Linked DNA regions of Callithrix jacchus. The protein of the gene in region 1 interacts with the protein of each later gene in a pairwise test. Links are inferred from orthologs where the notes say so. Each region holds a gene or a part of one and is shown in the gene's direction. Other genes may lie near its edges.

Evidence for each region.
Region 2: the proteins of SNCA (region 1) and ARFGAP3 interact in binary tests that used the Homo sapiens proteins (3 or more experiments, as listed by UniProt). The link is inferred for Callithrix jacchus from reciprocal best matches to the Homo sapiens genes SNCA and ARFGAP3.
Region 3: the proteins of SNCA (region 1) and PRKN interact in binary tests that used the Homo sapiens proteins (3 or more experiments, as listed by UniProt). The link is inferred for Callithrix jacchus from reciprocal best matches to the Homo sapiens genes SNCA and PRKN.
Region 4: the proteins of SNCA (region 1) and TOR1A interact in a two-hybrid assay, tested with the Homo sapiens proteins (2 studies listed by BioGRID, with this or other methods). The link is inferred for Callithrix jacchus from reciprocal best matches to the Homo sapiens genes SNCA and TOR1A.
Region 5: the proteins of SNCA (region 1) and CSNK1D interact in binary tests that used the Homo sapiens proteins (3 or more experiments, as listed by UniProt). The link is inferred for Callithrix jacchus from reciprocal best matches to the Homo sapiens genes SNCA and CSNK1D.
Region 6: the proteins of SNCA (region 1) and USP8 interact in a two-hybrid assay, tested with the Homo sapiens proteins (2 studies listed by BioGRID, with this or other methods). The link is inferred for Callithrix jacchus from reciprocal best matches to the Homo sapiens genes SNCA and USP8.
Region 7: the proteins of SNCA (region 1) and CYCS interact in binary tests that used the Homo sapiens proteins (3 or more experiments, as listed by UniProt). The link is inferred for Callithrix jacchus from reciprocal best matches to the Homo sapiens genes SNCA and CYCS.

Annotation. Positions count from the first base shown.
Region 1 is NC_133504.1:107,752,465-107,756,104, forward strand, and holds part of SNCA (alpha-synuclein), read left to right. Parts: intron 1-1,596; coding exon 1,597-1,739; intron 1,740-3,640. UniProt on the Homo sapiens protein: Neuronal protein that plays several roles in synaptic activity such as regulation of synaptic vesicle trafficking and subsequent neurotransmitter release.
Region 2 is NC_133502.1:188,977,328-188,980,967, forward strand, and holds part of ARFGAP3 (ADP-ribosylation factor GTPase-activating protein 3), read left to right. Parts: intron 1-2,035; coding exon 2,036-2,167; intron 2,168-3,102; exon of another isoform or gene 3,103-3,208; intron 3,209-3,464; coding exon 3,465-3,548; intron 3,549-3,640.
Region 3 is NC_133505.1:169,264,539-169,268,908, reverse strand, and holds the start of PRKN (E3 ubiquitin-protein ligase parkin), read left to right. Parts: upstream 1-1,542; 5' UTR 1,543-1,640; coding exon of another isoform or gene 1,641-1,647; intron 1,648-4,370. Other genes in the region: PACRG (parkin coregulated gene protein), read right to left, coding at 912-1,067. UniProt on the Homo sapiens protein: Functions within a multiprotein E3 ubiquitin ligase complex, catalyzing the covalent attachment of ubiquitin moieties onto substrate proteins. Substrates include SYT11 and VDAC1.
Region 4 is NC_133502.1:178,416,411-178,420,478, reverse strand, and holds the start of TOR1A (torsin-1A), read left to right. Parts: upstream 1-1,264; 5' UTR 1,265-1,328; coding exon 1,329-1,506; intron 1,507-2,240; coding exon 2,241-2,506; intron 2,507-4,068. UniProt on the Homo sapiens protein: Protein with chaperone functions important for the control of protein folding, processing, stability and localization as well as for the reduction of misfolded protein aggregates.
Region 5 is NC_133506.1:137,905,621-137,909,792, reverse strand, and holds the start of CSNK1D (casein kinase I), read left to right. Parts: upstream 1-1,356; 5' UTR 1,357-1,406; coding exon 1,407-1,482; intron 1,483-2,174; exon of another isoform or gene 2,175-2,311; intron 2,312-4,172. UniProt on the Homo sapiens protein: Essential serine/threonine-protein kinase that regulates diverse cellular growth and survival processes including Wnt signaling, DNA repair and circadian rhythms. It can phosphorylate a large number of proteins.
Region 6 is NC_133509.1:38,137,220-38,140,859, forward strand, and holds part of USP8 (ubiquitin carboxyl-terminal hydrolase 8), read left to right. Parts: intron 1-672; coding exon 673-883; intron 884-2,298; coding exon 2,299-2,535; intron 2,536-3,205; coding exon 3,206-3,348; intron 3,349-3,640. UniProt on the Homo sapiens protein: Hydrolase that can remove conjugated ubiquitin from proteins and therefore plays an important regulatory role at the level of protein turnover by preventing degradation. Converts both 'Lys-48' an 'Lys-63'-linked ubiquitin chains.
Region 7 is NC_133512.1:32,936,034-32,940,148, forward strand, and holds the start of CYCS (cytochrome c), read left to right. Parts: upstream 1-1,267; 5' UTR 1,268-1,325; intron 1,326-2,978; 5' UTR 2,979-2,986; coding exon 2,987-3,155; intron 3,156-3,262; coding exon 3,263-3,411; 3' UTR 3,412-4,115. UniProt on the Homo sapiens protein: Electron carrier protein. The oxidized form of the cytochrome c heme group can accept an electron from the heme group of the cytochrome c1 subunit of cytochrome reductase.

The DNA of each region.
Region 1 (3,640 bases):
ACCAAATTCTAGCCTAAAAGACAAAGAGCAACACTGCTGTGGACCCTTTCTGGTCTTGGGCTGTGTGGCTATGGCAGGCTTCCCCACATTGCCTGAATTAAAGAGAAAGCCTCCTGTCCTTACAGACCTTTAGCTTCTATGACATACATAATGTATTTGAAAACAAATTGCTTTGCCCACACCATTTAACTATGGGCTTCTTCAACTGGAGAGATGAAAGCTATACAGTAATCATGTGAATAGCACTAAACAGCTGACATGGTGTAACTCCTCTCAGACTGTGGCTTATCTGGGGAGTACAAAGCATATCAAGAAAATGTGCCTTCATTTTTTTAGACGAGCACCTAAGGAAGAATATAACTAACCTGTCCCCATCCTCCACTTGCCTCCACTGTTATACTCTTTGCTTCTATGATATCAACTCTTTTTTTTCTTTAGATTCCACATAAGTGGGATCATGTGGTGTTTGCCTTTCTGTTTCTGGCTGATTTCACTGAACAAGAGAATTTTTGACATGACATTAAATTTCCGCTTATAAACCCAATTCAAATTATTTACATTGTCTTCTAAAACATTAACTTTCTAAAATAAATCTACTGAATGACCATATCACATTTTCTTTAATGAAAAGAAATTGTTAGGGTGCTCAATTGCCTCTTCATTTTCATACTGTCTAGCTCCTTTGCGCCTATCAAAATAACTGCAAATTTTGCTTTTTAAGAACACTTCTGTTTCACTACCTGAAGTTCTATAAAAAGATCCAAGTTCCTTCACAGCCATCTCTTATACTATTAATCATATATATGTGATAATACCGTGTCTGAACACATTGATAAGTATGGGCTGGGCGCAGTGGGTCATGCCTGTAAAGGAGGCTGAGGCGGGTGGATCACCTGAGGTCAGAAGTTTGAGATCTGCCTGACCAACATGGTGAAATGCTGTATCTACTAAAAATAAAAATATTTTTAAAAATTAGCCAAATGTGGTGGAGGGCACCTGTAATCCCAGCTACTCAGGAGGCTGAGGCAGGAGAATTGCTTGAACTTGAAAGGCGGAGGTTGCAGTGAGCCAAGATTATGTCATTGCACTCCAGCCTGGGCAACAAGAGTGAAACTTCGTCTCAAAAAAATAATAATAAAATAAAAAAGCTCAGAAGTATGTACTGTGTTGCTAAGAAGGTGTGATGGAAATAAACTTGCTGTGTGAGATCAAAGGACTGACACTGAATTGAAATAATGAAGTATTCATACTGAGTCTGGTTCAACTATAACTGCACCTGTAAGCGTTGCTTTCTCTAAACTTTCCTTAGGATAAAGCAAATCCAAATCACTCATGGCTTTACATTCCTGATCATTAAACTTGAAGCACTTTTAATACTGCATGATTATAGCAAAAACATCTTAGCCAAGATTCAGTGTTTGTTTGAACCACACTGACTTGGAAATCTTGGTTACTGTGTTTCTTCTGACCCCTCAGTTGTCTTTGGCATGTGTAAATACAGGTGTATAGAAGTTGATGGCTAGTGGAAGTGGAATGATTTTAAGTCAGTGTTACTCTACCACCCTTTAATCTGTTGTTGTTCTTGATTTGTACCAGTGGCTGAGAAGACCAAAGAGCAAGTGACAAATGTTGGAGGAGCAGTGGTGACGGGTGTGACAGCAGTAGCCCAGAAGACAGTGGAGGGAGCAGGGAACATTGCAGCAGCCACTGGCTTTGTCAAAAAGGACCACTTGGGCAAGGTATGGCTGTGTACACTTTGTGTTACATTTACAAGCTGGTGAGATCATGGTTCATTTTCATGTGAGGCCTGGAGGCGGGAGCAAGATGCTTACTGTGGGAAATGGCTACCTGACCCTCCCGTTGTGAAAAAGTGCTACCTTTATATAGGTCTTGTTTTCTTCAGGCATTAACCCAGATAAACGCCATGCAAATGGTACAATTATCATGATTTTTTCAATTTCTGGAAGAAAGCTAATGAAACAAACAATTTATTAAAATGCCAAAGGAACAGTGTGACATTTCAGAAAGAATGAGTGCTTTCATGTTAACTATAAGTCTTGAAATTTCTCTTCATTGGAATAACAAATCTCTTTGTGCCTAATTTCTTAATTTCCAAAATAGAGTTCTTTTACTTGATTTCTTTATAGTGACATCATCTCTTATTAAATGGCATATTTGCATATTACTTAACAGTTCATTACCAAATACATGTTTGTGGGAACTGAGAGACTTAAAACACATACCAATCAGAGATCATACTTTTGAGGTAAGTTTTAAAATTCTGAGAAGAATTTTGACTGAATTTTTTTTGACAAATATAGGACACAAATAAGATTTTACCAAAGATATTATAACTTTCATTTTAAATATGGAACTAATACAATATGAGGTTCCATATTTAAAATGGAACTAGCTCTAACCTATGTAAAATTGGTGTCCTCCTCACCTCTGGTGTGCCCAGTCTCCCTAGTCCCTTTCTTTTCTTTTCTTTTCTTTTCTTTTCTTTTCTTTTCTTTTCTTTCTTTCTTTCTTTCTTTCTTTCTTTCTTTCTTTCTTTCTTTCTTTCTTTCCTTCCTTCCTTCCTTCTCCTTCCTTCCTTCCTTCCTTCCTTCCTTCCTTCCTTCCTTCCTTCCCTCCCTCCCTCCCTCCCTCCCTCCTTCCCTCCTTCCCTCCTTCCCTCCTTCCCTCCTTCCCTCCTTCCCTCCTTCCCTCCTTCCCTCCTTCCCTCCTTCCCTCCTTCCCTCCTTCCCTCCTTCCCTCCTTCCCTCCTTCCCTCCTTCCCTCCTTCCTTCCTTCCTTCCTTCCTTCCTTCCTTCCTTCCTTCCTTCCTTCCTTCCTTCTGGTGTGCCCAGTCTCCCTAGTCTTTTTCTTTCCTTCCTTCCTTCCTTCCTTCCTTCCTTCCTTCCTTCCTTGCCAAAGTGTTCATCACCTTTAAATACAATAAATAATATGCTTACTTTAATGTATGTTGTTTATTTTATTTTTCCCTTCTAGAATGTAGGCACCATGAGAGTGAAATATATTTACATTTTTTACTGATAGTTCACAAGTGTCTAGGAGAGTTTCCAACTTGTACTAGACAATTTACAAACATTTATTAAATTAGGGAAGGAAGGAAGGAGATAAGTGAGTAAGCAGAATGACTTTTATTTCTGCGTCTTTTATAATCGTATGCTTAGTATAAGAACAGTGCTATTCAGCCATCCACTAGTTCCAACCAAAATGATTTTGGATGAATATCTTGAAAATTGTGAGAAAGAAGTTTTATTTGCTGGCAAACTATTCTGAGTTGTTTCCACTTCATGTAATCCTAGGTAGCAGTCTTACCTTGATAGCCCATTAAAGCACTTATAATAAAAAGGCAGAACAAAAATATCTGTGATATATTTAAATTTAGTACATGTAGTTACATGTCTATTGTCTGGTGTGATGAATGCTAATTATGGCAAATCCTGACTGGGCTTCTAGTGAAGTTCTTCAGCCAATGCTTGAATGCATTGTTGGTCATGATGGTACCCCTTTGTACAAAATATGCTTTTCAAATGATCTTATTAGGGATAATAATTTTAGTCCTGGTTTTCATCTAAAATTATAATTCTATTTATAGCTTTGTAAGATTTCACAAGGTAAGAGGGACCTC
Region 2 (3,640 bases), on another chromosome or scaffold:
CACCCTCCAAACTCCAGAAAGGAGCGCTCTCATTTCAAGCCAGCGGGGGTTAGGGGACATAGGGAGGGAAGGCTCACATCAGTGATCATTCAGCTTACCCAGTGGAGCTATGAGTTATGGGTTTGGAACCATCCTTTTTGTATTTGAATCTTAACTCTGTCCTTCACTACCCATGTAACCTGGGGCAAGTTGTCGAACCTCTGAGTGCTTCATTTTCCCCATCTGTAAAGTGTAGATAGTAATAGTGACTGTCTGAAGTGTTGGTGTGAGGATTGAATGAGATGATGCCCATAAAGTACTTGGGACAGGATCTGGAACATGTCAGTGACCAATATCATTATTAGTCAATTGTTAATAAAAGGATCACTGGCCGGGCGCGGTGGCTCACGCCTCTAATTTCAGCACTTTGGGAGGCCGAGGCGGGATCACAAGGTGAAGAGATCGAGACCATCCTGGTCGACATGGTGAAACCCTGTTTCTACTAAAATTACAAAAATTAGCTGGGCATGGTGGCACACACCTGTAGTCCCAGCTGCTCGGGAGGCTGAGGCAGGAGAATTGCTTGAACCCAGTAGGCGGAGGTTGCGGTAAGTGGAGATCGCGCCATTGCACTCCAGCCTGGGTAACAAGAGTGAAACTCCATCTCAAAAAAAAAAAAAGGGATCACTTATATAGATTTTTAGAAAACCTGTTCTAATTAAGATCTGAATTCTATAATTTATGTCTATACATGGATCCTCATGAAGTGGGTGAAAGCAGTTTTTTCTAATTGTTTAAATACTTGTTTTATTATCTTACCTATATTGTAGTCTCTGTTAATGACAAAGTAGTGCTAAAAAAGGTAAATGTTAATGTAGCTCCTAATTTGTCAAAAATTCTGATTTAGTAGAATCCAAATTGAGATTGATTGTGGACTGGGTGTAGTGGCTCACGCTTCTAATCCCAGCACTTTGGGAAGCCAAGCTGGGAGGATTTCTTGAATCCAGGAGTTGGAGGCTGCAGTGAGCCATGATCATGCCACACTACACTCCAGCCTGGATGACAGAGTCAGACCGTCTAAAAAACAAAAGGGTCAGGAGCAGTGGCTCACGCCTGTCATCCCAGCACTTTGGGAGGCCAAGGCAGGTGGCTCCCTTGAGCTCAGGAGTTCAAGACTAGCCTGGGCAACATAGCGAGACCCCATCTCTACAAAAAATACAAATTAGCCAGGTGTGGTGGCACATGCCTGTAATCCCAGCTACTTGGGAGGCTGAGGTGGTGGGATCGTTTGAGCCCAGGAAATGGAGGTTGCAGTGAACCTAGATGGAGCTACTGCACTGCAGCCTGGGGAATAGAGCAAGACTCTGTCTCAAAAACAGAAAAAAAAAAAAGTGGCTGGGCATGGTCACTCATACCTGTATTCCTAGCACTTTGGGAGGCTGAGGCAGGCGGATCATGAGGTTAGGAGTTTGAGACCAGCCTGGCCAACATAGTGAAACTCTGTCTTAAAAAATAAGGAGCCGGGTGCGGTGGCTCACGCCTATAATCCCAGCACTTTGGGAGGCCAAGATGGGTGGATCACAAGGTCAAGAGATCGAGACCATCCTGGTCAACATGGTGAAACCCCGTCTCTACTAAAAATACAAAAATTAGCTGGGCGTGGTGACGCATGCCTGTAGTCCCAGCTACTAGGGAGGCCAAAGCAGGAGAATTGCTTGAATGCAGGAGATGGAGGTTGCGGTGAGCCAAGATCACATCATTGCACTCCAGCCTGGGTAACAAGAGCGAAACTCGGTCTCAAAAAAAAAAAAAAAAAAAGGAAAGAAAAAAGTAGACATATCCAAGTCACGGCACCAAAAAAAAAAAAAGAAAGAAAAGAAAAGAAATTGATTGTTTATGAATTAAAAGTAGTCCCAAGTAGAAAGTTTCTCCCGAAATAAATTTCACAATGACAGAGGTGGTTTATTGGGCAAATGAGGACTAGTTATTTCATTTTATAATGCAAGCAGTATAGCTAGTTTTACCAAAATATTAATCTGTATGCTTTTCTCTGTAGTCTTCCTTTTTTCATCAACATGGGTGTGCCACCAATGACACCAATGCCAAGTACAACAGTCGCACTGCGCAGCTCTATAGGGAGAAAATCAGATCACTCGCTTCCCAAGCAACACGGAAGCATGGCACTGATGTAAGTCACTGGAGGCTGGATTGTTTCCTTTAGATACACGTTTGCTTAGTAGAAAGTGATTTTTATCCTGAATAATAAAACGTTTCTGCCTGAGTTGTCTTACAAGGAAATAATGTACAGTAGATTATTATTATTTGAAATAGTTATGTTCTGCGTGAGCACTGGATTAGTGAATACTGAAACATTGCTCCTAGGAGAAATACAGGATTAGGTTCCTATGAGCTTCTGGTCTCATTTTCGTCAGCTGATCGATACATAACCTTATTTAACATGTGTTTCTATTTAAAGACACCTTTTTAAATATGTATTGATGACTCATGAATATTGAACTCACAGCCAAGGAGTATAACTCAGCCCTGAATGAAGCTTATTTAACACCTGGGTTTTTTCTCCGTAAGACACATCATAGCCTTCATGTGTTTCATGGGAACAAACGTTAGATAGCCCTTCAGTACTGCACTTGAGAGCCGTCTTAAACAATGACATCCTCAGTAAAAAGCACAGAAATATGAAGGACGTAGCACTAAATAAAACTACAGAAAGGGCATTTGTTTATGAAAACTGAAACAAGAAGGCAGAGTGTGTCTTGTTCCACGTCAACTGGGAACGTGCTTCTTGGGGAACGCATGTTTTGCTGCACTGTTCTCCCAATGACTGAAAACACCACGAGGACTGATTTTGGGGTTAAAAGTAAATTTTAGCAAGTAGGTAAATTCCTAAATATGAAATCCATGAAAAATGAGGATTGATTATCATTTAGAACCTGCATTTAGATATGAAGTCCTTGATCTTTCCTTTTCAGAAATGGTTTGTGTATTTGAGGTACTTGACTTCCTCAAGGTTCAGAAGCAAAATTTACTGGATGATAGATTACTAAAGTGCACTCAGAGGTCCCATGTAGGCATGTTACCGATTTTATAAGAATGGAAAGTGCCGTGCTTGCTTCAGCAGCGCATATACTAAAATTGGAAAGATACAGAGAAGATTAGCATGGCCCCTGCCAAGGATGACACGCAAATTCGTGAAGTGTTCCATATTTAAAAAAAAAAAAAAGCCGGGCGCAGTGGCTCACACCTGTAATCTCAGCACTTTGGGAGGTTGAAATGGGTGGATCACCTGAGGTCAGCAGTTGAGACCAGCCTGACCAATATGGTGAAACCCTATCTTTAAAAAAAAAAAAGAATGGAAAGCGCCAGTCTTTAGGAAACAGGTCTCTATAAGGGAAGTGAAGGGTATCAAATAAAACCCTTTACAGGCCAGATGAAATGCTTAGCCCCGTGTTGTGTTTTTGTTCTAGCTGTGGCTTGATAGTTGTGTCGTCCCACCTTCGTCCCCTCCACCAAAGGAGGAAGATTTTTTTGCCTCTCATGTTTCTCCTGAGGTATGTATTATGCTTCACATAATTTTAAAGTGTGCTTACTCTGACAGTTACAAAGGTACATATTTTAAATGCTAGGATGTAGGCTAAGCTGT
Region 3 (4,370 bases), on another chromosome or scaffold:
CTATTCATTTAACATAATGAATTGTCATGCAATAACTCAGATCTTCCCAGGGTGTAAATTATACCGATTTGAAAGCTGCATTTATTATTTAATGCCTCATTCCCAGACAGGTGCTTACTAAGTAGCAAAATCTGGCTCAGCATACCAAGTGTAAAGCTATTTAAAAAATAGGAAGGTTTTTAAAAAATACACTATCATGTATATAGCTAAAATATCTGTATGTATTTTTAATCTTTTTTCTCTAATGATATCTAAGATATTTTATTTTTATTACTACAAATAATAGAGACAAATTTGAATTGTATTAGTAGCAGAGATAAATGAGCTAAAGCTTGTATTGTTTAAAGCACATCATCTAAAAAGGCCTATCAGGAAACAGTGTTCATATTAAGTTGGCTTCCAGTACTCTAACAAGCTGACATCATTTTGTAAGAGCCAAGTGTAAAAGTAAATGCTAGGGTATTCTAAAATTTCCTAGGTTGAAGAGAAGAAATTTCTTATTATAGATTACTTGAGTTTATATCAGCTCAGTTGTATATCAGCTCATGTTAAATTTTGCAAGAGTTTATGATTTCTAAGAACTCACCTACTATAAGGCTCTTCGCTGAGTAGGGATAGTTAGGAATTAGTAAGTAAGGGGGATTTTTTTCCTGGTGTAAATAGCGCAAACTGTGAGCTATCGGGGAGGTGCTTATAAATGGGCAGAGTACATCATTTGCCCAAGATTCTAACAACTTAGCCTGCCCTCCACACGCTGTGGGATACCGTCTGCTACTTGCCAAGTAATTGCCATTTTTGGCAAAGACCACCCAGGGCTTGGGCTCAGAGTCCATCCTATGGCTGGCCAACCTCTGTAAATCTCGTGTCCCCTGATTCGGAGCAAGTGCATTTAATTCAGGAAGATCACTTACGACTGAGTTTTTCATCATGGCTTTGACTGTGAAGCCCTCAGAAACCAGGGAGTGAGGCTGGTGCACCGGGAGAGGCTGTTGTGCCAGCAGCTTAGTCCTCTTCGGCATCTTGTCTGGGCATTTGTTTAAGCTCAGGGTCTCTTTTTCTGCCACCATCTTCCTAGAAAATATCTTGTTCTCATAAAAAGTGTAGTAAAAGAATCAGTGGATTTTACGGATGTGAGCAGGAGGTCGGGAAAAAAATGTCAAAAGGCGCGTTAATGGTAGAAATTCAACCCTTTGTAGTGCCCAGGTTGATCCAGATGTTTGGCAGCTCCTTGGTGAAGGGAGTTTAGGGGAGGGGCGGGGCGGGAAGAGGGCAGGACCGTGGCTAGAGCTGCAACAAGCTTCCAAAGGTAAGCCTCCCGGTTGCTAAGCGACTGGTCAACACTGTGGGCGCAGGGCTCTGCCCGCCTCCCCTGTGACGTAAGCTTCCTGGGCCTGAAGCCGGAAAGGGCGGTGGTAGGGACGTGGGGAGGAGACGTGAGAAGAAACTACGCATTAAAACTACGACTCCCAGCAGGCCCAGGGCCGCGTACCGTCCGCGCGTGCGCATTGTTAGGGCCGGGCGCGGGGGCGGGGAGGCCTGGACGATTTAACTCGGGAGAGCCGCTGGTGGCAGGTGCGGGCGGTTGCCCGTGCGAGCGTAGGCCCCCTGTCTGTCGCGCAACAGCCACCTGCCCAGTGACCATGCTAGGTACGTGGGTGCCTGCCAGGTACAGCCTCTCTGCGCCGCCCCGCGTCCCGGTTCGGCGCCACGCCCCGCCTCGGCCGACCGGACCCCCGTTGCCAACTGTCAATGACGGAGCCAAAGTGCCCGTGCCTACCCCGGCCCACGCCGCTGGGCTCCCCAGTTCACTGACGCCGGCCTGGGGCCCCAATGTGTGTGTTCCAAGCGCCCCCCGTCCTCTCCCGCTCTGAGCGTTACCGAGAAGACAGCCTCGCCGGGGACGCCAGTCGGCCCCGCATCCCCTCTCCTCGCTCGCGGTCCCTCGGACCGTGCGGGGTCCCGAAGCCCTCGCTCCGCCGCCGTCCCCCCTCGCCTTCCTCCATCCCCTGGCCGGCGGTGGTCGTGCGGTTCAGTACCCATCGAGACCCACTCTCTGTGGGGCTCTTTCAGGAAACCCCAGCAAAGCATTAAACTCTAATGGAAGGCACCTGGTGAGGATGGTTGGGCTCCACAGAAACTCCTCCAGATGGATCTAAACTTCTTGCCCCTTCGAATGTTTCCTTTTCAACCTCTCGTTGAAGGTCTGAGGTGAAAGAAAAATTAAGAGTAAATAATTGCCGAGATTACATCTTCTGCCTTTTGCAAAATTACGATTTTTTTGGTAAAACCCGGAATGACCGAGCTGCAATTTTGTAAACGAAACTTGGTGGCTATCAGAGTTGTTCATGAACACTTGAAGTGTGAGATGAGCAAAGGTCCTGTCTTCCAGGGTTGTTAAGGCAAAAGTTACTTTAGGGGCTAACCCTGAACATTAATGGAAATGCACCATATGTTTAGAAAACAATGCTATGTGAGATGTCCTTATTATGGAGGTTTCTCCACGTAATGTATGGAGGGTTTGGTGAGCTCGTTTAGGGCTAATTCCTGAGGAGTGTCACTTACAAAACACTTTGGATTGCAGTAAGTACTTTCGGAGTCCGATGCGGTCTGTCCAGAAGAAAGATGAAAGGTGGATTTATAAAATATTAATCTTTATGCACTGAAAATACTTCTCATATCTGCTTTTGTTTATGAAGTTATTGTTAAAATGTAAACATGCTACCCATTAGTGGGAGACTCAGGTCAGGTAACTGGCATTGTCTTTGTCTCTGTGGTAAAACAAGAATGTTCTTCAGCTTTTCTTCCCTTTCTATCATGGTCTGACTTTTGGTGAATGACTTGAAGGTTATCAAATTATGAAAAAATTACAAATTTTATGAGTTTTCCTGAGCTCTTTTTAGGTGACGTCTACGTCAGATTGACTTGTAATCACAAATCTGAACTGAATCAGAAAACCAAGTAGAAGAGGTTTTCCAGAATCCGTGCTGTCAGTAGTCTACGGGAAGAAAATAGCCTGTCTTATTTTGAAGACAGTTAAACACATTTTATTTTAATTCAACTTAATCTAGTGCACAAATAATTTTAAGAGAAACAACCTTATTGTAAAGCTATATGAAGACAGGCACTTAAAATCTAAAGAACATTACCCAGTTATAAATTATTACCTAATAAGTTATATAAATAACTTTATTAGGATGAAATATGTTTGGGCAGTTCTGTTTAGTTTTATCTGGAATTCTTCTTCCAAGAAGGAAGAAATACGATCTTTGGAGCTGATGATTCAACAGTTATCAATTACCAGTAATGACTTGGAGACTAGAAGGTTGGTTTTAAAAAAGTTTTCTCCGACTCCAGCTGTTGCTTTAAATAGTGCAAGTAAGTGTGCATTAGAACATAAATGACTAAATCCATGCCTGCCTTCCTTAGGAAATGTACATTACATAAGAAATTGTGGACAGTGTGCAATACATTATTTTATTCAACTAATTGCATTGCCTAATTCTGAAATTAGACACCCGTCCCTCTTTTTTTTTTCTTTCTTTTCTTGAGACGGTCTGGCTCTGTCACCCAGGCTGGAGTGCAGTGGCACCATCACAGCTCACTGCAACCTCCAATTCCTGGGCTCAAGTCATCCTCCCGTCTTAGCCTCCTGAGTTGCTGTGACTACAAGTGTGTGCCATGCCTGCCAATTTTTAAGTTTTTGTAGAGATGGAGTTTCATTGTGTTGCCCAGGCTGGTCTCAAACTCATGGGTTCAAGCAGTTCTCCTGCCTGGGCCTTCAAAATGCTGGGAGTACAGGCGTGAGCCACTGCACCCAGCCTCATTAGACACATTTCAATAAACATCTGAATGGCCGGTTTGGGATTTAGGTGTGGAGAACAGTGCTAAAGGTAGGTGAAAGTGACAATGATTAAAAGGAAGCCCTGGAGTGATGGATTTTGTGTGTTTGTGAAGATAATTCAGAGCCAGCAAAGACAATGTAGACTTTACCCAGTGATCAGTTGGAGATCAAAATCTAAATAGTATGTATCTGTGATTGTTTTTCTGTTAAAGGTAAGAGCTTTCTTGAAGCTTGCTCCTTTCAGATCTACATTTTCTCTAAGTGCTAAACTCGCCTTAATGCAAATAATACTCTTCCACTTTATTTAAATTCTGGCTTACTTTAAGGTGAAACATAAAGATGCATTTCCTGGTAGAATAGGAATAAACAGGACTGACTGTGACCTCACTGCTAATGAAATGTACCTTCTGTTGACTTTCTCAAAACCAAAGATTTTCTTCTTGGCATGAAGACTGTTTCAAAAATACTTACATTTCCCACGTGGATTATGATTGATACACTGAATATTCTGATCCAGGCAGCTACAGAA
Region 4 (4,068 bases), on another chromosome or scaffold:
ACTTTAGTTAATAATAATATAACAGTGCTTCATTAATTGTAACAAATGTTGCACACTAACAATTTGATGTTAGTATGCGGGCGCGGTGGCTCACGCCTATAATCCCAGCACTGTGGGAGGCCGAGGCGGGTGGATCACGAGGTCAACAGATCGAGACCATCCTGGTCAACATGGTGAAACCCTCTCTCTACTAAAAATACAAAAATTAGCTGGGCATGGTGGCACGAGCCTGTAGTCCCAGCTACTCGGGAGGCTGAGGCAGGAGAATTGCTTGAACCCAGGAAGCGGAGGTTGCGGTGAGCCAAGATCGCGCCACTGCACTCCAGCCTGGGTAAACAAGAGCGAAACTCCGTCTCAAAAAAAAAAAGATTTTAGTAACGAGAAATTGCAGGGAGGAGTGGCACATGGGAACTCTCTGTACTATCTTCTCAATTTTTCTGTAAATCTGTTCTAAAAAAAAAAGTCCATTACCTTTTTTTTGGCGGGGGGAGGAAAGAGACTCACTCTGTCGCCCAGGCTGGAATGCAGTGGTGCGATCTCAGCTTACTGCAACCTCCGCCTCCCAGGTTCAAGCGATTCTCATGTGTCAGCCTCCCCAGTAGCTGGAACTACAGGTACACACCACCACACTGGCTAATTTTATATTTTTAGTAGAGACGTGGTTTCACCATGTTGGTCAGGCTGGTCTGGAATTCCTGACCTCAGGGGATCCACCCGCCTCAGCTTCCCAAAGGGCTGGGATTACAGGCGTGAGCCACCACGCCCGCAAAAATAACCTCGATTACTTTAATTTTTTTTTTTTTTTTGAGACGGAGTTTCGCTCTTGTTACCCAGGGTGGAGTGCAATGGCGCGATTTCGGCTCACCGCAACCTCCGCCTCCTGGGTTCAGGCAATTCTCCTGCCTCAGCCTCCCGAGTAGCTGGGATTACAGGCACGCGCCAGCATGCCCAGCTAATTTTTTGTATTTTTAGTAGAGACGGGGTTTCACCATGTTGACCAGGATGGTCTTGATCTCTTGACCTCGTGATCCACCCGCCTCGGCCTCCCAAAGTGCTGGGATTACAGGCTTGAGCCACCGCGCCTGGCCAACCTCGATTACTTTAAACAAACAAACAAAAACACGTGGCCGACAAGGGCAGTGCAGAACAGACCTTCCGGAAGCAAAACAAGGCTTTGTCCCGAAGAAAGATGGCGGCCGCCGGCGTCGGTAGGAGGGCTGCCCTGAAGAAAGATGGCCTTCGCGGCAGGAGGAACCGGAAGCGCGAGTCTGGCGGCGGTACTAGTGCGCGGTCGGCGCCAGAACGCGCAGGGCGGCGCGGGTCCGGGCATGAAGCTGAGCCGGGCTGCGCTGGGCCTGCTGCTGCTGGCGCCGTCCGTGGTGCAGGCGGTAGAGCCCATCAGCCTGGGACTGGCCCTGGCCGGCGTCCTCACCGGCTACATCTACCCGCGTCTCTACTGCCTCTTCGCCGAGTGCTGCGGCCAGAAGCGGAGCCTCAGCCGGGAGGGTAGGATGGGGAGGGGGCTGGAGGCTGGGGCTGGGGCTGGGCGATGGCACTGGGGCCAGGCCAGGACCTGGGGATGGAGGCTGGGGGATGGGGGATGGCACTAGGGCCCGGCCCGGATAGGGGTCAAATCCCAGGACGGCCGGGCCTGGGCAGAGCTGAGTCCACGGGGGCTGAACCCCGGAAGCCGAGCGGCCCGCCTTCAGGATGAGGCCTGGCTCCTTGGCCACGACCACAGACGGGCCAGACTTCAGTCGGTGACCAGAGGAGCCGGTCTGCAGGTTGGGCTGCTTCGCGCCACGCTGGGCAGGAGGGGGAACCGGTGGTAACCTCCCTCCGAAGGGGGTTCTGCCTCCTAGCAGAACGGGAGACAGGAAGGATGGTGAGGACTCTTCCGGAGCCGACAGGAGCGGCCAAACTGCCTCCCTTCCTCGCTCTGCCTTGGGGTGGGAGGAGCAGCACAGAAGTTAGGGGTGCAAACTGGTGGCTGTGGCATGGGCACCGAGGCCCTTTTCGGGAAGGAGCCGGGCCAGGGCTTTAGAATAGGCAGGACCAGCAAAGGGAGGCCCTGGACCGCCGTCCGCACTGGGCCAGGAGCTTACAGCCCGTAGTACTTAAGGTTTCGCAAGGTGCTTGAAGAGCGCCTAGGCGGCTTTGCCGGCTTTCTCATGGGCTGTAGATGTGGCTACCTTTTGCCACTCTTTCTTCCCCACTCCCGATTGCCTTTGTCTTTCCAGCGCTGCAGAAGGATCTGGACAACAAGCTCTTTGGACAGCATCTTGCAAAGAAAATCATCTTAAATGCTGTGTTTGGTTTCATAAACAACCCAAAGCCCAAGAAACCTCTCACCCTCTCCCTGCATGGGTGGACGGGCACCGGCAAAAATTTCGTCAGCAAGATCATCGCGGAGAATATTTACGAGGGTGGTCTCAACAGTGACTATGTCCACCTGTTTGTGGCCACACTGCACTTTCCACATGCCTCAAACATCACCTTGTACAAGGCGAGGATGGAAGTTTGGGACCCTTTCCTGGATGTCGTGGGGTTTGGGATCTCTTTGTTGTGGGATGAGATTTGGGAATTCTGTGTTGAAATGAACAAGTCCTGAAATGGTTCACGTCTCAGTTCCCCTTTGAAAGGTGTAGAAATTACAGAGAGTTTGGGCTGCATGGAGCAGTTAACACCATCAAAGCTGCATTGTGGTGGGTTCTGGAAACAGGTCCAGTGAGTACCTACGGTCATGGAATTTTAGGGGTGGATGTGATCAGATCCATCTTAGAGATCATCACATCTCACTCCTTGTCTTTCTTTTTGTTTTCTTTTTGTGTGCGTGAGACGGAGTTTCATTCTTGTCGCCCAGGCTGGAGTGCGGTGGCATGATCTCAGCTCATTGCACCCTCCACCTCCTGGTTCAAGCAACTCTCTTACCTCAGCCTCCTGAGTAGCTGGGATTACAGGCATGTGGTACGACACCCAGCTAATTTTTGTATTTTTAGTAGACATGGGGTTTTGCCAAGTTGACTAGGCTGGCCTCAAACTCCTGACCTCAGGTGATCTGCCCGCCTCGGCCTCCCAAAGTGCTGGGATTACAGGCGTGAGCCACCACGCCTGGGTACATCTCATTTATTTTGTCAAAGAGGAATCATATGTAGCAAGTCCTAAATTGGCTGAACCTACTGCCTCCAAACTGCTTTTTTTTTTCTTTGTGACAGAGTCTCACTCTGTTGTCCAGGCTGGAGTGCGGTGATGCCATCTTGACTCACTGCATTCTCTGCCTTCTGGGTTCAAGTGGTTCTCCTACCTCATCCTCCCAAGTAGCTGTGACTACAGATGTGTACCACCACACCCAGCTAATGTTTGTATTTTTAGTAGAGACAGAGTTTCCCCATGTTGGTCAGGCTGGTCTTGGACTCCTGACCTCAAGTGATCCACTCACCACAGCCTCCCAGAATGCAGGATTATAGGTGTGAGCCACCTCATCCAGCCACAAACTGCTTTTATGGTTGAACTCACTGATTAGCAGCTTGGGCTTTGGCAGCAGACACACCTGGATTTGAGTCCTAACTTTCCTAGCTCCAGAGTCTTGGGAAAGTTGCCTGATCTGAGACATAGGTTCTGACTTACAAAGTGTTGCTTGTAACAATCCAGGGAGCTCTGTCAAGTGTGTAATGTGCCTGGTGCATATTACAAACAGTTGTTAACTGTTGCCTTGTAGATCCTTGTAACAGACCCTGCAAGATGGGCAAAACAATCAGTTTTTTATTTTATTTTATTTGAGACTGAGATCTTGTGTGGCTCAGGTTGGAGTGCAGTGGCGTGATCTTGGCTCACGGAAAGCTCTGCCTCCTGGGTTCAAGCTATTCTGCCTCAGCCTCCCAAGTAGCTGGGACTACTCGCGCCTGCCACCACACCCAGATAATTTTTGTATTTTTAGTAGAGATGGGGTTTCACCATGTTGGCCAGGCTGGTCCTGATCTGACCTCAGGTGATCCACCTGCCTCGGCCTCCCACAGTGCTGGGATTACAGGCATGAGCCACTGCACCCAGCCGCAATCCGTTATTTAT
Region 5 (4,172 bases), on another chromosome or scaffold:
CCCCCCCACCACCCGCTTCTGTAACTCAGAAACTGGGCAGCTCCGACTGCCTGTCCCTCGTTAGTGACTGATGGTGTCTGGCTGACTGCATCTCCTGTCTTCAGGCCCTACTGTGTAACTTCAGGAATGGATATCTGCCTCCCCGGGATATCTACCTCCATGGGAGCTGAGGGGTGGAGAGGAAAGACGGGGATGGAGACTGGTGGGTGCCACTGCAGGGCCCTTCGGGGGCTGCTTTCCTCTTCTGCAGTGACCCAGATGCCAGCTGAGGCTTCTGTCTCACTTAGGCCACGGTGCCCACACCAGAGCCCTGAATTCACCTGTTTCACCTTCTTGAGTTTCAGCAAGGATGGGACAGGTTGAGACAGGTGGACATGGGACCACGGGGACTGGTTCTTCATGGTCCCCATGCGCCGCAGCCTGGGGGGGCTTCTCTGGAGGGCTTTCTTCCCAGTGATGGGAATCAAAGGCCCCAATCTTTGAAGCTGACCGTCAGCCTGAACGTGCACATCCTTGTTTTCTTTTGCAAGGAGGAATATTCAGATCCAACACAGATAAGAATGTTGACTCGGTCTCCAGGCCGCAGGGACTGGTGGGAGGCAGGTGGTCTGTCCTCATTTTGTGAAAGGTGGTAGCCTCGTCCTCATCCTTCAGGCTGGACATCAGGACCTCCCAGGGTGCGGGCCTCTCTGTCTCTGGCCTCAGGTGTCAGGAGGCAAAGCCGCTGACGTCCTGAGATGCCCCACGCCCGGGAACTGGCAGCCAAGTGAGAAGGTCTCACTTGTGTCCTCCGGGCCGGGCCTCAGCTACCTGTTCCCTCCTGCAAAGGGCACCGCCTGTCTCCAGGAACTCACCTGGCTCTCCCGAAATCTCGGGGGACACACGAAAAGCCCCAGTGAGAGCGGTAGGAGCCTGCACGTGGAAGGGGCTGGCGGCCTGAGGTCCTGGGATAATGGGCGGGCAGAGGGACTGGGGCCCTGCGAGACGGTGCAGGGTCCGAGGAGGCTGGGAGCGCTCGCCCCACCCGCCCCCGCCCCTCGAGCACTGCGGCCCCACCCGCCAGGGGGTTGCCAAGGGAAGTGACGTCACAGCGCGATGGCGGCGGCTCCTTCAGGCTGCTGAAAGGGGATTTAGGCCCCGAAGATCCGAGTCCATCCGCGGCGGGGAGAGGGCAAGCGGCGCCGGCAGGGGCCGGAGCAGCGGCGGCGGCGCTTGGACTGTCCCATCCGCCCCGTATTGAGGCGCTGGGAGCGACGGGGCAACGGGAAAGCGATGGTGAAAGCGGGGCCGTGAGGGGGGCGGAGCCGGCAGCCGGAGCCGCAGTAGCGGCAGCAGTGGCGCCGCCTCCCGGAGCTCAGACCCAGGAAGCGGCCGGGAGGGCAGGATCGAACCGGGCCGCCGCCGCCATGGAGCTGAGAGTCGGGAACAGGTACCGGCTGGGTCGGAAGATTGGCAGCGGCTCCTTCGGAGACATCTATCTTGGTGAGGCCCCGCCGTCCCCACCCGCCGTTTGAGGACCCGGGCCCCGCGGCTACCGAGACCAAGTGCGACCGCGGAAGGAAGTGGCGGCCCCCGCGGGGTCCGCGCGCAAGCCCTGCCGCCGCCGGGTCGTCGCTAGAACCCAACGGCCACTAGACAAGCGCGGCCGGGGTTGGGGAGGACAGTGGGGCGTGGACCTGGGGGAGGGGCAGGGTCGGGGGGTGGGGGAGCGGGGTCTGGAGAGGGGAGGGGTGGGAAAGAGGGGACAGGGGAGCCGACCCGGGGCGGGGCACGGTCTCGGGGGTGCGGAGTCGGGAAGGGGCAGGGTCGTCGGGGAGCGGACCCGCGAAGGGCTGGGTGGGGCGTGGGGAGGCGGGCCCAGGGGAGGGGCAGGGCGTGATGGGGGCCGCGGCCCGTGGGAGGGGAGGGGGAGGGGGCGGGGCAGGGCCGGGGCCGCGGGCGAGTGTCGGCTTGCTCCGCGCCTGAGGTCTCCGAGATAAACAAAGGCCATGCTCTTTCTTTCGCAGCCCTGTCCGAGGATGTTTGGCTCCCCAGTCAGAGGCTGCCCATGCGTCTTGCACGCGTGGGGGATAATGTCAGAAAGACCCGAATGCCGTGTGGAGCTGGGGGAGTGGCCTGGCTAGGAGCGGGGCTTGCCCTCCACCTCGCGGCCGCCGTCATGACTGACCGCTGGGGGTTCTCTCTGCACTGCGACCCTAGGCCTTGGAGCGGTGACTGAGTGCAAATGAAAGTCCCACAGGGTTAAGATGCTGGCAAAATGAGAGGCCCATGAAGTAGTAGTACTCATGAGCTGTCCTTTAACATTCTCAAGGTAGATTTCAAAAAAAAAAAAAAAATGGGATTAGAACATTCTGGGTTGTCATATTTACAACAGAAGAATATGCATGTGGGCACAAGTGTATTGAAAGATTGGCTGACATCTTCAAGTTTGTAAAAAAAATTTATTTTGAGATGGAATTTTGCTCTTGTTGCCCAGGTATAATGGCATGATCTCAGTTCACTGCAACCTCCACCTCCAGGGTTCAAGCGATTCTCCTGCCTCAGCCTCCCGAGTAGCTGGGACTACAGGCGCGTGCCACCACGCCTGGCTAATTTTCTATTTTTAGTAGAGACAGGGTTTCTGTATGTTAGTTAGGCTGGTCTCAAACTCCCGACCTCAGGTGATTCCCCGCCTCCCACCCCTTGGCCTCCCAAAGTGCTGGGATTACAGGCATGAGCCACCACGCCCAGCCCAAGTTTGTACATAATTTTAAAGTAACTTAATTTTCCGTACTTGTCAGTGGGATTGTGCAATACAGGAGTTATTCCAAGACCCCCTGAACTTGAGGATGTGTAGCCTCGTGGGCAGTGTGCCTGCAGAAGGCCTGATGCAGACCTTTGAGGGGACCTATTCTCTGTTCCAGCAGCCCCATCTCTGGGGTGTGTTTGGCTGGGGCACAGCCAGGGTCCGGAATCCTATGGGATGTCAGTAATGCCTCTGGTCGCACTTTTTAGATTAATCCGCATGTGAACAGTCCCTACATCTCATACCCTTCTCACTTTTCACCTGAGAGATGACTCAGGACCCAGTGGGCTGACAGCATTAGGCTGAACCCATACATTTGGGTGGGTCATACTTTGGGTGCCTGGTTAACCTACCAGTTAACCCTGTCACATGCCATATTGTTGCTTTTGAACCTGTATATATGCCTTAGCAGCCTGTGAGTAAAACACGCTTTAGATGTTTGGGTTGACTAAACATTTATACCCAGGTGGTCAGCTGGATATGTTCTTGGCAGTGTTTTGGAAGTCAGAGTGCTTGGTAAATGGAAGGCATTTGGCTTATTTATAGATTGATAGATTTTGGCAAAAGTTTTAACTCCACAGTCTGAGTTACACTGCAAAGCCAGTCCATTAACCACTCTTAGGCAGGCATCAAAAAGAAGTATTTTAGGCTGGGCGCAGTGGCTCATACCTGTAATCCCAGCACTTTGGGAGGCCAAGGTTGGCGGATCACTTGGGGTCAGTAGTTTAATACCAGCCTGGCTAACATGGCAAAACTCCTTCTCTACTAAAAATACAAAAATTAGCCGGGTATGGTGGCCGTCACCTGTGATCCCAGCTACTCAGGAGGCTAAGGCATCCTGAGAGGTACAGATTGCAGTGAGTCAAGGTCACACCACTGCACTCCTCTGAGACCTTGTCAGAACAACTTTGTGCTTTCCAAAGATAGATTCAGACAAATTCTGGTGTGGTTGTTACCAAGTCGTTCACAAAGGTGGAAGGTGGCAGGCTGTCTGCTCACTCATGGTTGCACCCTCAGGCCTCACCTCATGCTGGGCATGCAGTCACGCTGGAAACCATTAGGGTAGGGATTTCCGGTGACTGTGGCTCTGGCGCCCTGGGGTTGGAGCCTTCAGACAACCATCCATCAGGGTACATGTCCAGTTACTTGAGTGGGGTTGGGCACAGCTGATTTGTTTTTTTTCCATCAGCATTGGCTCCTGGCCTACATTTCAGTCCTTTCAGACGACCCCCCTGAGGAAATGAAAAGTGAAGTGGTCATGTAACCCGGAGTAAGGCAGGCTGGAGGAAGTGTGGGTCTGCGCAGAGCAGCAGTTAGAGTCAAGATGGCTGATCTGAAGACCGTGAAATCATCTCCACCATAGTTGGTTTGGGCAACCTGTTAGACA
Region 6 (3,640 bases), on another chromosome or scaffold:
CCTTTCAAACCTTAATACTTACCATTCAGCACCAGAGAAGTCAAATTAGAAAGGGGAAAATATCTTTATTTGTAGGAATAATGAAGGCTGGGCATTCTGGCTCACACTGCTAATCCTAACACTTAGGGAGGCTGAGGAGGGTGGATCCCTTGGAACCCAGGAGTTTGAGACCAGCCTGGGCAACAAGGCAAAACTCTGTCGCTACAAAAATTGGTTAGGTGTTGTGGCACATGCCTATAGTCCCTGCTACTTGGGAGGCTGAGGTGGGAGGATCACCTGAGCCCAGAAGGTCAAGGCTACAGTGAACTATGACTGTGCCACTGTACTCCACCAGCCTGGGTGAGACCCTATCTATCTCACAAAAAGAGAGTAATCTAGAGAAAACCTTCTCTGATTCGTAAAGGACAGACAGGATGAGAGCAGTGCTGGAAGGCAGAACCTCACTGTCATTAACTGGAGTTTGTTGATGAGACCATGCAGGGCTTGCCGCCAAAAGAGGGAAGCTGAAGGGATGTAAGCAAGTCAGATTCAGATGAGAATCTGGTGGTAAGCCTGCAAGTAAATATGTAGTTTAATGTAGCGCTACAATTTGTGAATGATGTCTTGAATCCACTGTGCCTTACTTAACTTTTAAACTTCCTTTATTGTCTTTTGTAATTTTTATTTGCACAGGTCAAATTTATTGGGGCATAAAGGTGAAGTGGCAGAAGAATTTGGTATAATCATGAAAGCCCTGTGGACAGGACAGTATAGATATATCAGTCCAAAAGACTTTAAAATCACCATTGGGAAGATCAATGACCAGTTTGCAGGATACAGTCAGCAAGATTCACAAGAACTGCTTCTATTCCTAATGGATGGCCTCCATGAAGATCTAAATAAAGTAAGAAATTTGATTTTTCTAAGTTTCAGAGACTGTTTAGGGTTGCTCTGTAGCACTGTATTTTTATAGCAATTTAAAATTCTAGTTGGTGACAGTTCACTACTTGTTTATTCAGATAATGACTGTATAAGAGAATTATAAAACATCTGGTAATTTTGTAATATTTGAAGCATATACAGTTGGTATTACTAATTAACAAGCAGTATTGCTGAAAAATTTGCAAATGTTAAAACAGTTTTTGGAGTTTGTGACCCACATATGTGAAAGTAAAATTATAAGCAATTGATCTTATAAAAGATTATAGACAGTTTGAGCATCTTTGTTATATAATTTCACATATGTAATATATGTATGTTATTATTTTTCCCATTCCCTTGCTGAAAGTGGAACATGCCCTATTCTTATGGTTTATTCTAAAATAAGAATTACTCAGCTGGGTGCAGTGGCTCATGTCTGTGATCCCAGCATTTGAGAGGCCAAGGCTGGCGGATCACGTGAGATCAGGAGTTCAAGACCAGCCTGCCCAGCATGGTGAAACCTCATCTCTACTAAAAACACAAAAATTTTCCAGAAACAGTGGCACGCACCTGTAATCGCGACTACTCAGGAGGCTGAGTCAAGAAAATCGCTTGAACCTGGGCAAAAGTTGCAGTGAGCCGAGATTGTACCACTGCACAATCTGTTGCCTGGGCAACAGAGTGAGACTCTGTCCCCCCCACTGCCAAAAAAGAGAATTATTTCATGTAACCAAATGACTCATGTGACTAGTTATTATGGAGGCATGTATCTATATATAAATGACCACCCTCCATTTGTATATTACAGCTTTTTTTTTTTTTTTAAGCACTTTTTAACATGTGCTTTTGGGGTCACCATTCTTACCACCGAATATATATATATATATATATATGCACAATACACTTACAAATATGTATCTATACATATCATGAGGTTACAGCAACAAAATTTTATCTGTCTAGTTGTAGCCTTAATTCCCAGCTATATGTAGGATATCTTTTTTCAAAACCAACCTTTTTAGCTTTTTTTCTGCTAGAGATGGGATTCTCACCGTTGCACAGGCTGGTCTCGAAATCTTGGCCCCACGCAATCCTCCTGACTTGGACTACCAGAATACTGGGATGATAGGCATGAACCACCAGGTCTGACCCTTTTCAGCTTTTTAAATAAAAATTTGGGAAATTTCAGCAAGTCACATTCTTTGATAAAGTGGGTTTTTTTCAGTATTTTTGGCTAGAATTATTTTTGCCACACTCAATGAGATCACAACTCTTTTGTGAGAACTACAAGTATTTCTAAATCTGCATAGTGTTTACATTTACTTTTATTCTTTCATTTTATATTTGAGTATTGTCTTTTGAGATATTAATATAGAGCTTAAATAATCTTATTTCCAGGCTGATAATCGGAAGAGATATAAAGAAGAAAATAATGATCATCTCGATGACTTTAAAGCTGCAGAACATGCCTGGCAGAAACACAAGCAGCTCAATGAGTCTATAATTGTTGCACTTTTTCAGGGTCAATTCAAATCTACAGTACAGTGCCTCACCTGTCACAAAAAGTCTAGGACATTTGAGGCCTTCATGTATTTGTCTCTACCGCTAGCATCCACAAGTAAATGTACATTACAGGTAAATTTAAGATAGAAAATGATTTATTGGATAAAAATGCTGTTTATATGGATATAGAGATATATGTTGTTTAATTTATTTCTGGTCTTTACTCTTATAAACATTTTATCGGTAAAACTCAATATAAATTCTGTTTTATAATTAGGCCTATGTAGATGAGAAAGAATTAGAAAAATTTTTAAAGTACCGTTATTAAATATTCTTTCAGAATTGCTAATATGTTTTTAAGAAGTTTTATAAGTCAATTTGGAAGGTTGTCTGTTGACTTCAAATTAGACCTACTTTTCATAAGCATTTTTTACATGGGGATAGCAAGTAAATGTCCTATTTTCTGTATATCAACAACGTTTCTTATATAATAGCTTATTGATACCTTTAGTCTTAAAAACCTCCAGAATATCATTTCCTCCAACAGGTTTTCCCTGATTGATCAGGTTAGGGGCTTTCCTGTGTCCTGTCACAACACATTGTAGATAGCACTCACCACTCACTGTGCTGTCTTTGTTCACTTGTCTACACTCCTCACTAGATCACAAGCTTTGGGAGGGCAGGAACTCTTCTGTGTAGTTTATTGAATCACTGGTGCCTGCAGAGTGACTAAATAGATGCTCTTTGACACTGTTGAAGAAATGAATTAATGAGTATCTGCTACTTGTTTTTTTTCTGCCAGGATTGCCTTAGATTATTTTCCAAAGAAGAAAAACTCACAGATAACAACAGATTTTACTGCAGTCATTGCAGAGCTCGACGGGATTCTCTAAAAAAGATAGAAATCTGGAAGTTACCACCTGTGCTTTTAGTGCATCTGAAACGGTAAAGGAAAAAGTTTTTCTTCCTGTTCAGTGAAATTAAATGAAGAAATTCTAAGTCCTGTATAATTTATACTTGTACTGCCTGCCATGGGTTCGTAACAAAGAACAATTATCTGGTTACAGTAGATCTAGGGAGATAAAGCAGAAATGTTAGTTCATCTCAGTGTTTTCAATACCATAGGAAAATGACAGTACCACTAGTTCATGTCATTTCTTATGATCATTGCGTTTCAGACATAATTTTAAATAATTACAAAGCATTAAGTAAAAATGTATAAAAAATTATACATATA
Region 7 (4,115 bases), on another chromosome or scaffold:
AACGAGGTTTCGTCATATTGCCAGGCTGGTCTCAAACTCCTGATCTCAGGTGATTAGCCCGCCTCGGCCTCCCAGAGTCCTGGGATTACAGGTGTGAATCACCTTGTCCGGCCAATGAATACGACTGAATACGGCAGTGTCAGATAGAATACAAGGCGAGGGAGTGGAGGGGAGAGAATACAAGAAAGGATGAAAATTAATCAGAACATGGGGCTAGAATTTGAGGAGTAAAGGTGTCAAAAAAAAAAAAAAAAAAAAAAACCAGTGACAGAACTGAGCATGTCAGGAAGGGGATCTAGTTTTAAATTATAATAACTAAAAGCTGTGGTATTAACGCCTTTATTTCTAATAAGACCTCATGCATAAGCTTACTTGAACATGACATTTACCTAGGTCAGAAGGGATGCAAATCCTCTAGATTTCCAAGAATTCTCTAATCATCTAAACATGTTTCTTCTTAGATGGTGCCAACACACCTTCCATGTTCTTTCTGCACACGAACGTGAGGGGGAGGAGGGCGCTGGCAGAAAAGTTGCCGACAGGTAAGGGGCCAGAGATATAATTGTCTCTACCGCAAATGCAGCACCTTCCCCATTCTTGGGGCGTCCAACAAGCGGAGAGCTAGAAGATGACTGAAAGTAACACAGTAGAGGTGGAACTAGAACAAGGTCACGAGCAAGTGCCCAACTCGTCTAACTCCTGGTTCCAGGCTGTGCCTCTGGGATGCTGTTGGCGCCAGCAGTGTTAGTATGACAGAGCCTGGGTAAAGGTCGTCTGCTGACGAGACGGTAGCTAGGAGACCTCTAGGTGAGCCAGAATTAGGGCGTCTTCTCCTGGACGTGCGGAACGCCCTGCCCAAACAAAGCTCATTACATCACCAGGCCTGTTACTTTAGCAGGGTAACGCGCCAAACCACCACCGACTCCGCCCCACCCTCCCCGCCCCTCTAGTATACGCAAGCGCACAAAGACCTGCGAGTGACGTCACCCCTCCCGGCACCACCGCGACGTCGTTTGACCAAAGGCCTGTCGTAACGGCCCGGCAAGAGAGGCCTGGAGAGGAAGGGCACGCACGCCGCACAGCCTACCCTGCTCGCTGGTATGCGCGCGCAGATCCTTGGCGCAAGCATTGGCACTGGAGCCAATGAAGCGCGGCAACGTCACTGCGTAGCCGCAAGCTCGGCTGTACGTCAGGGCGCGGGAGGGCGGAGCGAGTTTGGTTGCACTTACACTGGTACTTAGGCGCGGACCGGCGTGTCCTTGGACTTAGAGAGTGGGACGTCCGGCTTCTGAGTGGTAGTCTTTGTTGCGCTAACCACGAAAAAGGTGAGAGCGGGTCGCGGAAGCCGCATCTGGTTAGAAGCAGAGCTGTGGGGGGCACGTATTCGCGAGGATACGCGGGGAGCCTTCGAGGGGAGCCCGCGCGGGGTGGGAAGGCCGGACGTGAGGACCCTAGACTATGGTCAAACGAGAGCCAGGCGATCAACCGCTTGAGGTAGGGCGGAAGCCCAACTAAGGTCTCGGTCAGTTACTGGAGACGGCAAGACGCGTCCTCTTCCGTCGTGGTTGTTGAAGGGCTATGGAAACGATAGGCCAGACTTCCCTCCCTTAAAACCGAAGCGTAGCGTTTCATTTTCTGCTTCAGAGGGCAAAAGCTGTTGCTCCTCTAATAAGGGGTTGTTCTTTTCGTGGGCACATGTTTGTTCTTTCAATCGTTGCGGCGTCCTAGAAACGTGGGTTTCATCAGTCACCTTGAAACCGACCTGGATGGGTGACCTCGTGGTCACCTCGGGGGGATCACCGGTAAGAGAGTTGGGGATTTCTTGGGGACACCGTGCAGCCTACTCCTGCGCTCCAATTCACGCAGGAGTAGTGTCAAGCTACTCTTGTGCCCTGGGCAGGTAGAAACAATCAGAACCGTTTATTTTATTTTTAATTTATTTTTGAAGACGGAGTCTCGCTCCGTCACCCAGGCTGAAGTGCAGTAGCACGATCTCGGCTCACTGCAACTTCCGCCTCCCGGGTTCAAGCAATTCTCCTGCTTCGCCCTCCCTAGTACCTGGGACTACCGGTTTCCACCACCACGCCCGGCTTTTTTTTTTTTTTTTTTTTTTTCTTTCTTATGGAGTTTCGCTCTTCTTACCCAGCCTAGAGTGCAATGGCGCGATCTCGGCTCACTGCAACCTCCGCCTCCTGGGTTCAGGCAATTCTCCTGCCTCAGCCTTCCGAGTAGCTGGGACTACAGGCGCGCGCCACCATGCCCAGCTAAGTTTTTTGTATTTTTAGTAGAGACGGGGTTTCACCTTGTTGACCAGGATGGTCTCAATCTCTTGGCCTCCCAGAGTGCTGGGATTATAGGCATGAGCCACCGCGCCCGGCTTTTTTTTTTTTTTGTATTTTAGTAGAGACAGAATTTCACCATGTTAGCCAGGGTGGTTTCGTTCTCCTGACCTGGTGATGACAACCCACCCCTCCAAGCCTCCCAAAGTGCTGGGATTATAGGCGTGAGCCACCGCGCCGGGACCCAGGACCGATTTTTAAACATTTGTGCTTTGCATTATCCTCAGGGAGAGGTGGCTTTACATTGTAGTACGATTAAATGATTAGACCTTCTTAAAAGTTGCAGTTGTGGTGATTTTCACTTAATGTTCGCTGTTCTGCTTCGTATCTGTGACTGTTTGTGATCATGACCTTATCTTCTGAAACTGAAGTTTGAATTACGTTCCCATTTGCTTGCTTGGGTTTTAACCTTCCTTCACGTATACACACAAAAACAGGTTTTTAAGGAGGTGCTCCTAAAAAATGTTTTTGGTATGAAAGAGTATTGGGTATAAAAAGTATTAAAGCAAAAGAAGATTCATCTTAGTATTTAATGACATAAATTATCAATGGATTGGTAATTAAGTGACTAGAGTGGTCATTAGTTTACACTGTATTTGTTACCTGAAGAAAAATTATTGTTGGGTCTTTCGTTTTTAGAATTCAATATGGGTGATGTTGAGAAAGGCAAGAGGATTTTTATTCAGAAGTGTTCCCAATGTCACACGGTGGAAAAGGGAGGCAAGCACAAGACTGGGCCTAATCTCCATGGTATCTTTGGGCGGAAGACAGGTCAGGCCTCTGGATTCACTTACACTGAAGCCAATAAAAACAAAGGTAAGAGGAGAACACTTGTTAAATAAAACAGCACAAAACGCATGAACGTAACCTGTGGCAAACTCCGGAGTGTGAAATACTTAATGGATGCATTCTTTATCATTTAGGCATCATCTGGGGAGAGGATACACTGATGGAATATTTGGAGAATCCCAAGAAGTATATCCCTGGAACAAAAATGATCTTTGTCGGCATTAAGAAGAAGGGAGAAAGGGAAGACTTAATAGCTTATCTCAAAAAAGCTACTAATGAGTAATAATTGGCCACTGCCTTATTTATTACAAAACAAATGTCTCATGACTTTTTTATGTGTACCGTACTTTAATAGATCTCATACACCAGAATTTACATCATGAATGACTGACAGAATATTTTGTTGGGCAGTCCTGATTTAAGACTAAGACTGGCTTGTGGTTAAATGAATATGTTCAGTTTTTGGATTTTAATAGTAATTCCAATTTAGTAAATTCTGTCACACCCACCCCTTCTAAAGATATGATTAGACTTCATTAGTAATGTTAAAACTTTTCGCAAAGATGGTGAGTGCCATCTTAAAACTTACTGGAGATTGGTTTTATATTTAGATTTATATGACTGGTTATGTGAATATATTTAAATATGGGGGCAATTCCTTCACAGTCTCAGAACCAAGCAAGATTCACCTGTGTTTTGTGTTCGTTTGCCTCTTAAAGGCAAGGTTGAAGATAAACGGGTAGCAATGGCTATTTTATATTTTTGGCCTTAACTATGCCAATCTAATTAGAGTACCCTGTATTTAAAATGGTTCCTTTTACTTACTGAAAGGCATTTTGTGTGGTTTATGTGTAATATAAAAAATTATTTAACACTTCACACATTTTATAGATGATCTATAAGGTCACATGCTTTTAAAATAGTAGCCAATTAAACTTCACTCTTGGATTCTTTACAATCTAAGTCAAACTAAGTTATAATTTAGGA